Linked DNA regions of Cricetulus griseus. The protein of the gene in region 2 binds, or shares a complex with, the protein of the main gene of each other region. Links are inferred from orthologs where the notes say so. Each region holds a gene or a part of one and is shown on either strand. Other genes may lie near its edges.

Region 1 (4,100 bases), on a different chromosome or scaffold from region 2:
TGCAGGTGCCTCTGGGCAATCATAAAGTCAGGTCTCTCTTAGGATGGGTGTGTTCAGACCCTGTCCATTTCCATATCCCTACCCAGCAGCTCTCCACTTCAAATACTCAGGAGTCGACTCCTGCCGGCAAGGGGCTATTTCTGGAGTAGGAGGATGACAGCCCGGTAGTCCTACAGCAGGCACAAGGGTCCAAGTCAACGTGATGGGGACAAGAAACCTGGGCTTCCTCTAGCGCAATGGGAGGCCCTAACGGGTTTCAAACAAGCCCTGATACAGTCTCCCGATGTGGTGGCCCTGGTCGCACTGTGCAAGAAAAATGAGAATTGGGTAGACTGAAATGGGAGGTGTCAGGCTGCCATGGAGTTGCCATGCTAGGATGGAAGAACTGGGAGGAGCCCTTTGGACGATCTCTAGGGAGTTACCTGCTGCCTGAGAAAACTGGAACGGAGCGGGAGAGGCAGTCCAGAGGCAGTTCCGGATGGGGGTGAGGGCTAAGGGGAGGTGTATGTCTGCTGGTCTTACCCCAGCCCTTAGTCTGTTTAGGAAGTACCGTAGCAGGTTTGAAACTCCACCTGTTAGATCCTTTTCTCTATCCATGCCAGCTAATGGATCGAATTGGAAGGTATTTTCAAAGCATTTGCTCTGTAAACAGACGCCCAGACCCTTGTCATCAGTCACTCGATCTGCCCACTTTTCTCAAGATTTGATTTTCACAGCATGTAGGTAACAAAATGGCCTTCAGCACCCTCCAGTTTGGGCTGTTTTCGTGAAAAAATTTTTTTTTTGAACCGCTAAGTGGTATCACTTGCCACGCCTGCCTGACAGTTCCAGAAACAGCCAGCCTCCCACTCAGATCACCTTCCCAGGCTAGGGCGCTGTCCAGCTCCTGGGTCCTGGGTCCGCGGCCCCGGCTCCGGCCGTGCTCAGGCCGGGTGCGCCCCTCTCGCTATCCGCTCGAGGCCGCGGCGACCAGCCCGGTAGCGCCCCACGCGGATGGGCTGCTCCACCACGCGGGCTCCGGCCCGGGTCACCGCGCCAAGGAGTGGCAGAGGCGCAGTCCCGGGTACGCGCAGGGGAGGGGAGGGGAGGGGCGGCCCGGGGCGGGAACATCTGGGGGCGTGTCCAGGAAGAGGATCCAGCCTGGGAGGGGCGCGAGTGGTGGGGGCCGAGCGCCGGGCCGGCGGGCAGCGCGGCCCCTGAGCCGCCCGCGTACGTCCAGCGTGCCGCCTTGCCGGCAAACAGCAGACCAACCGAGGCCCCGCCCGCGCGCGCGCGCGCGTGTCCCCGCCCGCTCGTCGGTCGGAGCGCGGCTGGCGGCGCGCGGTGGCGGCTCGGCACGCGGCGGCCGGGCGCAGGCGGCCGGGCGGAGCAGCAGACTGCGCCGAAGCCGCCCCAGGCGTAGGCCTCGCGGCGGCGGAGACCGCCACACTCATCGGGCGCCGCGGCCACCCGCGCCTTTCAATGGGCAGCTCGCACTTGCTCAACAAGGGCCTGCCGCTCGGTAAGGCCGCCGCGCGCGCGCATTTCCGGCTGCGGCGGGGGGCGGGGGGGGCGGCCGGGCGCGCGCGGCGCTGGCTTTGTGTGCGAGTGCGCGTGCGCGCTCGGTGAGCGCGCCGGGGTTGGGGGGGGCCGGTGCGGCCACAGGGCGGGGCGCATGCGCGAACTGCTGCACATGAGTGCGCGTCCCTATTTTCCCCTACCCGCTCGCGACCCGTGCAGGTGACAAAGAGGCCTGTGGTGCTTCGACCCAGGCTGTGACCGAGCTGGGCCCGTCTTCTTGGCCTATGGCCCCACGAGGCTCCTTCCCGTGGCCATCCGGGCGGGACCTAGGTGTTCCCGGAGTGACGAGCCTGCGAATCCCGCCTGGGCCTCGGGTTGGCGGATCCGGGAGCAGTTCTCTAGAGGTGGCATTGAGGGAACATGGGTGGCATACACGCCCATCACGCCTCCAGGCGACTTAGTGATGCTCAGCTTGGCCCCTGGCCTTGGACCATTTAAGTTTTTTATTCATTTGTGAAAGTCCTTAAACCGCAGGAGTCCTGCTGGTGGAGGGCAGTCTTGGCGGCGTTCGCTGGCTGCGTAGCCTGGCGCACGCGCAGTGGGACCGACCCCACCTTCGGGCGGGGCGGCCCAGAGGTTGCAGAGCCCAGAGGAGCTTTTGCCCACCGTCCTAGCGCCCCATGGTGTCCCCCTCTCTGTCTCTTCTACCTTAATAATAAAAGGGCCTGCCTGAACCCATCTCTGCCCTCACAAGGACACTCACTGCCGTCTTCCTCATAGCCTGAAAGATCCTTGCAGTGTGTGCTGCCAGCAGGAAATACGGAACTGTGGGCACGAGGGAAGGAGGGAGGCGCCCTGTGATGGCCTACTGCGCCTCTTATCACACAAGGCCGTTTCGCAGAGTCTGTCAGCCTGTTTCAGGGTGTGGCAGGGTATGGGCCTCCAGGCCTGCCCTGCATTCTGGGCCGGTGGTAGGTACCCCTCCCCCAAGACTGCACTATTTCAGAGCTGTAACTCCCTGAAGGCATTCTATATATTGTGTGTGTGTTTGTGGGAAGCTACTCTGCACCCAAACCATCAGGGTTATAGGCCAGAATTTCATGTGGGGTAGGGAAGGCAGGCCCAGCTCATTGATTTTCAGAGATAAGGAGGACCGCCTGCATCTTGGCCTTGCCTGTCAAACCTTTCCAGGCCCAGGGCCATCACCCTTGTTCTGATGAGTTTGTGATTGGTTAGGACAAATAAGCTTTCTAGGAAGGAAAAGGGAAGGAGTTTTCTAGTATTCAGGAAGGTGAACCCTGTGAGCCAGGGTGTCAGCAAGATGACACCAAGATTTTCCCTCACTGTTTCTGCTTTGTCATTTCCAGAGTCAGAGAGCATTTGTTCATTATAAACAGGAGTGTACAGGAGCCCACCCCACTGTAGTTGGCATGCAGGACACTAGGCCCACTGCTATAGAATGGAGCCAACATCTTTGAGTCCTGGGGCAGCATGATCTTTGGAAGAACGGTGGCTATGGCCATGAATATGATCCTGGGCTCATGTGTGATCTCTCTGTGTTTCATCCACAACATGGGGTAAATAGCTGTGGGATGTGCCAAGTTCAGGGACAGCTTTGTGGGTATGTGGGGTGATACTGTTCTCCGGAACTGTGTGTGCTTCCTTGTCTTGTTACTATTTAGACTGGCAGCTGTGGTTTGAGGCTGCCCTTTCTCCACTCTGGAGCTTGGTCAGGCATGGCTCTGGTATGTGTGTCAGCCAGCTTCCAGGATGTTTGAGGCTACCATGTCATGTTAGTTGTGCATAATGTAGACTGGAGCCTGTAGATTCTTGGTGGGACCTCAGTGACACACTGCTCTTCCTCTGGTCTCTTACTTTTCTTCTATCACCTGTGGGCCTGTCGTTGGGTTTCAGCAGTGTGCTTAGCCTCTCCAGCTGGGCCTTGGGCTCAGAGAGGTCCAGTGTTCCCCTCAGGGTTTCAGGTAGGATCAGGTCCTTGCCCCCCAGCTTCCAGCAGCTTACTGTTTCCTGCCTGCCTTTTGAACTAAAGTGGTGCCTGTCCTGCCCTGTAACCTGGCCAGAGGCTTCTGTGACCATTCATCCTCAGACCTAGGTACTGCTGAGGACCCTCTTGGAGTAGAACCTGCATGTTACCTGGTGGCCCTGTGGTTCCTGGGCAAGATGTGTGAAGCAGAAATAAATGCCCCGAGGTCTTTGTTGCATGGCAACACCTTTACACCAGCTCTCATTCTGCTGGTGGCAGGAAAGGGTTTGGCCTGCATGGTGCTGGGCAGGGTGGCCTGCCTCCAAGCCCTGGGATGTAAGCTGGTATAAGAGAAGTATTAGTTTATATTGCGTTGGTTTTGTAGTTCAGCCATGTCACTTGAAAGTCTGCCAGCACCAGGGTCTGCACTCTGTATCCTCACAGTCACTGTAATGGTGACTCTGTGAGTTCTGCAGGGTAGACATGTTCAGCCTCCTGAGTCTTTCAGCATTCCTGCAGCAGCTGCAGCACCCTGCCCTCAGGTACTGAGGACCATGATCACAAACATGCACCATCTTTCCCAGAGCCCAGGCTGCGTACTGTGGGGTGACATCTT
Region 2 (3,577 bases):
TCCTTCCTCAAAGCAACTCCTTATTCTGTGCATTTGACATGTTTTGATGGCTTGAAAATGCCATGGAATTGTTCATTTGTTAAAGCAGCATTCCTGTTATAAGACTGTATTTCTAACACCACGATGTGCTGGATTACCTCTCTCTCTTATTTGAGACCTTGTGATGACAGTTTAGGGTGAGAAGAAAAAGACATGATAACCACAGGACTAAAGTCTACATAGGTAGGACCGGTGAGGTCAAGAATCTGTTTTGCCTCAGGCTCGCCCAGTGAAATTAAGGGTTATTGAATTATTATTAAGCCCAATCACACTCCAGGGCTGCACAGATCCCTGAGTTAGACATGGTGCCTGCCTTCTCCATGGTAACGAAGCTAAATATGGACACGTTTCCACGGAGAGACATACTGCAGCTGCAGCCCTGCTTCCTCCAGGAAGCATCCTCTCTGGGCTTCTTTGCCCCCTAGGAAGTGGCTGTCAGTGTTCAGGAGGTATCTAAGACATCAAGACCATGTCTTTCACTTTTGAGAATTTTTTTCCAACAGATATTTCATTTCTCAGCACTCCTTTCTCTTGGTAATTACATGCTGGGAGAGACCAAAGGTCAGAAAGATGGACATGTGAACCTGATAGGCTCAATGACCATTCATAAAAGCCATTTCATCTTCTCTTTGCCCTGAGGAGTGGGGTTTCTTGTTATCAGAGCAAAGGGAATGTGATTGGCTAGAGGGAGATAGCGAGACAAGTATGATGAGCCTTGGGTAAATATACTGCTCTTTCAAACTCCAAACCTATTAGAAAAATGATTTCTACAGAGCTTTTGAAATGCTTTCTGAAATTTCCCATAATTTTAATATAATCTCCTGATTATATCTACAAAGAGTTTTTAGTGTGTCATACTATAGTCATAGAATATTCAGATGTGACAAGGTTTTATATTTCCGTAAGGGGAAGTAAGTCTACTTATTGCCTTTTCAAATTTGAACTCGTTAGATTTAATCTCTGCATTTCCTAACTGTCTGACAGAGCATTGTGGAACGAAAACTTTGTTTTTGTTGAAAGATCAAAATATAAGCTGAGTATTAGGCTTTAAAATACCCTGTTTAACATCACCTGGCTATTTAGAGATTACATCATGTGTGTTTATAACTTAATCACCTGTAAATTGGGTTTTATAAGCACAGCTGATCATATGTGCGTGTTCGTGTATATTAGGAAATATCTATAATGGGTATGTATACACAGGGAGCTGGGTTGTGCTGCCCAGTTCACTAAGCTATGGAAACTATTTTGAGACTGGAGATATCTTATAAGGCAATTATAAATAGTCTCTTAAGAAAGATTCTTATCGTGTGCTCTGTGTTGCAGGCCACGTGGCACCAGAGAAAAGTGATGGATGACCTGCAGTCCCAGAACCTCTCCATGGACATGACTGACTCCCCTCCCACTTTGGCCAATAACAGACTGGAGAATGGTATGGCCCAGCTGATAACTACTGAGGCCTGGAACATCAATTCCACTGATCTGGTAAAGAAGGCCCTGGTGACCGTGCCGGCTCCATCCATTCTGAACCCCCCAGCTGAGTCTCAGAGTGGAATGGCTCTGAAGGTGGCAGCCACAGTGCTGCAGCCCCTGTGCCTTGGGGAAAGCCCAGTGGTGATGCCCATTCACATGCAGGTGGAGGGAAGCTCTGCACCAGAGCTTAACCCCAACAGCAATGCCACCTATGTTATGACGACACAAGGTCCCGTGCAGCTGCCAGTGGTGCTGGAGCAGCATGTTTTCCAGCACCTCAACTCCCCTCTGGTCCTGCCACAGGAGGCCCCATGCTCCTCAAATGCTATACACAACAACCTCTTCCAGGGGGCCGAGGACTCCGAGGCCCAGCCTCAACTTCTGGACCTGAGGATCCCAAGCCAGCCGCAGGAGCCCACATTGCCATTTGAAGCTGTGCTCCAGAATTTATTCCCCACCCAAGGCTCTCTGGGCCCTCCACCTTGCCAGCCTCCTCCTGGCTATGCTCCAGTGCCTCCGCAGCCCTTTAATTCTCCCTTGTCCCCCCTAGTCCCACCAGCTACCCTCTTGGTGCCCTATCCTGTGATTGTCCCCTTGCCAGTGCCAGTGCCCATCCCCATCCCTGTCCCAGTGCCTCAGAGTTCTGAATCCAAGTTCGGCCCCAGTTTCTCCAAGCCACCATCTTCCTTCAATCTGCACTCCTTTAAAGGCACCCAGACTACCCTGGAAAAAGATGAACTGAAATCCTTAGACATCCTCCAGCCAAAGGAGTATTTCCAGCTCAGCCGCCACACAGTTATCAAGATGGGGAATGAGAATGAGGCCCTGGATCTCTCCATGAAGTCAGTGCCCTGGAGCAAAGCTGGCGAAGCTAGCTCCCCAATCTTCCAAGAGGATGCAGCCCTAGACCTATCTCTGGCAGCCCACCGAAAGGCCGAGGCTCCCCCAGAGACACCGTATGACAGCAGTGGGTCAGCAGACAGCCAGGGTCACACTGTGCTGGAGAAACTTCCCAGTGCTATGGAAATGCCCTTTGCCCCTGCCAAGTCTCGTGAGGCCTCGGCCATGATGGATAGCCATATCAGCGGCAACAATGGCACTGAAATGGTCAACCAGCCCAGCCAGCCCAGCCAGCCGGGCAGTGGGGTGAAGGCTGAAAATAACATTGAGATTATAAGTGAGTCCCAGGCAGCCAAGGTCATTGTCTCAGTTGACGACACTGTGCCTACCATCTTCTGTGGCAAGATTAAAGGCCTCTCAGGGGTATCCACCAAAAACTTCTCCTTCAAAAGAGAAGACTCTGTGCTTCAGGGTTATGACATCAACAGCCAAGGAGAAGAATCCCTGGGAAATGCCGAGCCCCTTAGGAAACCCATCAAAAACCGGAGCATAAAGTTAAAGAAAGTGAACTCCCAGGAAATACACATGCTCCCAATTAAAAAACAACGGCTGGCCACCTTTTTCCCAAGAAAGTAAATAAAGGCTTTTAAAACATTTTTATGATTATGACATGGGGAAAGGTACATTGGTTTTTTAAAAAGTCATCTAAAACAAAATATCTTTGTTAATTATTTTGGGGCACAGGTGGGAGGCAGAAAGGCAAATTAGCTAGAACCATTTTCTTTTTTAATTTTTGACTTTTCACAAATGAGTAAATAAGAGCAACCTATTTTTCAAGCAGATTGCACATTTTTTTGCAGCTTTAATGAAATATTGGGTCAATCAGAGGGGTAAAAGCTATTTTCATTGCCACAAAGTGCTTTGATGATGTAATACCTAATAAAGGGTAGGATGAATATTTCACAATAAATGTTTGTTTGCACTAATTGGTTGCAGTATTCTGTCATTTGTAAAATTTATATTTCTCAACTGGCATGGCTGGCCTAAACTCTTGCTTGTAAAGAGCTCTAATTTATTACTGTTTAGAGACCTAAGCTCTTCAGGCACGTTGGGAAATATTGCCTTGTGCCCCAGAGAAGTAGGATTCAGTGTGTGTATGGCCTCTAGCAAGTCATCTTTTCCTCTGGGCCTTTTTTTGTGGCAAAGGAGTTAGGAGGAAGCAGAG
Region 3 (3,646 bases), on a different chromosome or scaffold from region 2:
GTGCTGCCCTGCATTAAACAGATTGAAGGGCTGCACCTATAGATACAGAGGGCTTCACACAAGACCCAGTTATCACTACCTGCTAGGTCCACTGTGGAGTGTTCCCTTCCAGGAACAGGGCACACCTGCCACTCGTCTTACTACTCTCCAAAGGGTCTGCTGGCTGACTTGATAGGCACCATATGTACTTAGAGCTAAATGACAGACACTGCTGGAGGACCATCTATTTCATTAGCAGAAGTCTTCTGAATAGCCACTCCAATCACAATGGGCCACAATAGTGACACTTCGTGTCCCCTTTACACTTTTCAACGCTCTGGCCCTAGGCAGTCTGTTTCTTGGACTCTGACTGGAGAAGAGGGGCTGACTACCAACAGGAACTATGTGTGAGAGACAATGGGCTAGAAAGCTGAATGTCTTCCTGCATAGTCCCAACTCAGGGAATTTATCTCTATTCCTGACAGACACACGTCTTTTGTTTGCTTTTTTTCTAGACAGGGTTTCTCTATGTAACAGCCCTGGCCTGGAATTAACTCCATTGGCCAAGCTGGCCTTGAACTCAGAGATCTACCTGCCTCTGCCTCCCAGAGTACTGAGATTAAAGGTGTGTGGCCACTTCCTTCAGGCTCAGATACATATTTTTAAACACAAGCATACTTGCTCGTGTCTGGGAAACATCTTTTTTCTTTTCTTTCTTTTTCTGAGACAGGGTCTAAGTAGCTAAGGCTAGGCTCAAACTTGCTATGCAGACCAGGGTGGCCTCAAACTCAAGAGACCTCCCTGGATAACAGGTGTATAACACCGCACCAGGTAGTTTTCTCAATTAAACTCAGGTACGTGGCCTCACATCAATCACAACAAGTTTCTTCTGTTGCCAAAGAGGGGCTCAGAGGGGCTGTAACTGGAAAAGAACAAGGCTGCTTAGGGTAGGGACATAGGAAGCCATGATTACCCAGGACTCTCAAAAGCCCGGGCTGAATAGGACTGATTCTGCTTTACATGAGATGTCTACCTTCCCCTGTGAGGTTGCCCCACAGACATACTGTGGGCATTGGCTGGTGCCACCCGGCACAGCTTCCTTTGTCCTTTTCTTATCCTGGGGTTCAGGCTCATAGTAACTGCTGCTCTAAATGCAAAGAAACAGAAAACTAAAAACAGGCACCCACCCCTCTCAAAGCTGCAGGCTCAGACTGTGAAGGGAAGTTGGATCCAGTGCTGCTTCAGTGGCCAGCATGGCGGGTGTGTCTGGGTTATAGACAGAGCTGTCGAGTCTAGCGTTAGGCCCGGTGCAGAGATGACTGTGAGGCACTGCGCACACCTGGCTTTGCTGTCCTAGGAGTTAGTTCCAGGAGCCCTTGGGGTGAGGCAGCAGCAGGTGGTAGGCCCAGGCTGATGGTACGAGCATTACTATGCTCAGGCTGCTGTGGCACCATCGGTACATGGGTTTCTAGTTATTCTGAGGTATTTCAAATGCATGAGGCTCATGAATAAAGAGGCGGCACACTTTATTCAGACAAAATACGTGGCTCTGAGGCACTCCCCACTGACCCCCCCAGGCTCTGCTGCCAGTGTACACCAATTCTCATGGGGGTGTGGGCAGGAGTCCCCTGTGCCACTCAGGTACTCTACCTTCCTGCTTAGCTTTCTACCCGCCTGTGGTTTTCTCTGAGAAGCACCCTGGGAATGGACAGCAGGTGGTGGCCAGCTTCTTTTGGTGTGCTCAATGAAGAACTCACTAATCTACTGCTTATCTCAAGATCTTCCAGCCCCTGAACCTGCTTCGAGCTGAGGCTGGGCAAAGGTGCATGGGAAAATGGAAACAAGACTCCCTAGGACAACTGCCCTGCCTTCTGCGTTCTGCCCATTACTGAGTGTGGCCTCCAGGCAGCCAGCATGGCCTTTCGACTCACCGAGCTCACCAGCAGCCTTGATGTCCACGTTGTCATAGCCACTGCCAATTCTCACGATCACACGAAGAGCCTTGAACTTCTCCAGGTCTTCCCTGGTGAGGGTGATAGTGTGGTACATCATGGCACCCACAGCCTCATTCAACACCTGTGGGCAGGGACATGAGTCACAGGTCAGAACCCCTGGGAACACAAGGCTCTGAGACTTTGTTAGCAGAAATTATAGGATGGAGACATGGAGTAAGTGCCTGAGGGTGGCAGAGTAGGCTAAGGACATCGGGAATTCCATACACTTTAGGCATTCCTGTGTGTGACTACTGTGCTTACTGACATCAGCTGGCCTGGAGGGGCCCAGGTAAGGTGGGGTGCAACCCACCTTTTCATGGATTTCCTGAGTAGACTGTGCATCACAGAAGGCCACAGTGGCCAGATCCTTCAGGATGGGCATTTCCACGGTACAGTCTCTGCCGTCGAGCAGTGCCACTAGGGGGCGGGGATGCAGGGGGCCGTTCATGATCTGAGGGCGGATACCTATAAGGAGAAGAAATGTGTGGTAAGTACACTGTAGGGAGGGTGTCCTCAGTGGCTGATGCCAAGGCAAGCAGAGAGCACACAAGTCTGGTGGAGCCAAGGACATGACACAGCTTTACCAGCTAACGGGGGGGGGGGGGGCGGCAGCAGGGAGTGAGGGGTAGTGATGTTCCTAGATCACTGGAGGGTAAGTGCAGAGTTCTGGTATGAACTCACTTCGCTCTAAGACCCAGAGGGGCAATTGTATAGCTCACTTGAATTGCCCCATAAAGTAAAACTCTGGTCCAGTGAGATGGCTCAATGGGTAAAGGCACTTGCCACCAAGCCGCATGGCTTCAGGGTAACTGACTCCCACAGTGCAGGAGAGAACTGACCCCTGCAAGTTGTCCTATGATTTCACATGTGAACATACACAGACCCGAGAGCTGTGTCCATCTCCCTCTGGCACCCTCTCACTGCATGCAGAGACATCCTCACACCATACTGGCAGTCAGGGCAGACAGTGAGCCCAGAGTAGAGAGAATGTCTTTGTCCTGGTCTTACGGGAACAAGCTGTGTTGAAAGGGAATCTGACTGAATGGCAGCCAGACCCTGATATTATAGCATTCCCAGCATTCACCTGCCACCTGCCTGAGTGGTCGTGCCCCAAGTTCTAAAATCCTTTCATACTGGCAATGGCAAGGTAGTGAGCAGCAGGGTACACCCCAAGTCCTCACTGGCCCATGGCTCAGGTAACTGACAGGTTGGTCCTATAAGAAAACAAAGCCTCAGCCGGGTGTTGGTAGCGCACACCTTTAATCCCAGCACTAGGGAGGCAGAGGCAGGTGGATCTCTGTGAGTTTGAGACCAGCCTGGTCTACAAGAGCTAGTTGTTCCAGGACAGCCTCCAAAGCCACAGAGAAACCCTATCTCGGAAAAAAAGAAAAGAAAAGAAAGCCTCACTATCCCCAGTAGGTCCAGGTGAGGTCCCTGGAGGTGGCTGCTGTCACAGAAGGTGAGGTGACAGTGACATCACACAGTTGTTGATGTATTCATCCTGTCAATCAGCTACAGAGCACTGCTTGCTAACCAGATGAGCAGCTGAGGTATGTGAGGTTCTGATGCCACCCTGCCTTCTTTTTACTAAGGGAGCGTGCAAAACGGCCAGAGTCTAAGAACATGGGTTGAGCGTCTGGCAGTATCAGACTACATAGGTCAGAACTCCTTCC

What was found.
Region 1: the proteins of Rai2 (region 2) and Ctbp1 are in contact, whole or in part, in a cryo-EM structure (PDB 8ARI), measured with the Homo sapiens proteins. The link is inferred for Cricetulus griseus from reciprocal best matches to the Homo sapiens genes RAI2 and CTBP1. Residues at the interface, in NP_001166210.2 of Homo sapiens: Glu315, Ala316, Leu317, Asp318, Leu319, Ser320, Met321, Lys322, Trp326; in NP_001319.1 of Homo sapiens: Arg36, Cys38, Met42, Val51, Ala52, Phe53, Cys54, Asp55, Gln57, Gln60, Glu61, His63, Val66.
Region 3: the proteins of Rai2 (region 2) and Ctbp2 are in contact, whole or in part, in a crystal structure (PDB 8ATI), measured with the Homo sapiens proteins. The link is inferred for Cricetulus griseus from reciprocal best matches to the Homo sapiens genes RAI2 and CTBP2. Residues at the interface, in NP_001166210.2 of Homo sapiens: Glu315, Ala316, Leu317, Asp318, Leu319, Ser320, Met321; in NP_001077383.1 of Homo sapiens: Leu35, Arg42, Cys44, Met48, Val57, Ala58, Phe59, Cys60, Asp61, Glu67, Ile68, His69, Lys71, Val72.

What each region holds. Positions count from the first base shown.
Region 1 is NW_023276807.1:102,317,235-102,321,334, reverse strand, and holds the start of Ctbp1 (C-terminal-binding protein 1), read left to right. Parts: upstream 1-1,271; 5' UTR 1,272-1,461; coding exon 1,462-1,501; intron 1,502-4,100. UniProt on the Homo sapiens protein: Corepressor targeting diverse transcription regulators such as GLIS2 or BCL6. Has dehydrogenase activity. Involved in controlling the equilibrium between tubular and stacked structures in the Golgi complex.
Region 2 is NC_048604.1:96,682,462-96,686,038, forward strand, and holds Rai2 (retinoic acid-induced protein 2), read left to right. Parts: upstream 1-1,389; coding exon 1,390-2,988; downstream 2,989-3,577.
Region 3 is NC_048596.1:67,839,099-67,842,744, reverse strand, and holds part of Ctbp2 (C-terminal-binding protein 2), read right to left. Parts: intron 2,439-3,646; coding exon 2,284-2,438; intron 2,056-2,283; coding exon 1,911-2,055; intron 1-1,910. UniProt on the Homo sapiens protein: Corepressor targeting diverse transcription regulators. Functions in brown adipose tissue (BAT) differentiation. Isoform 2 probably acts as a scaffold for specialized synapses.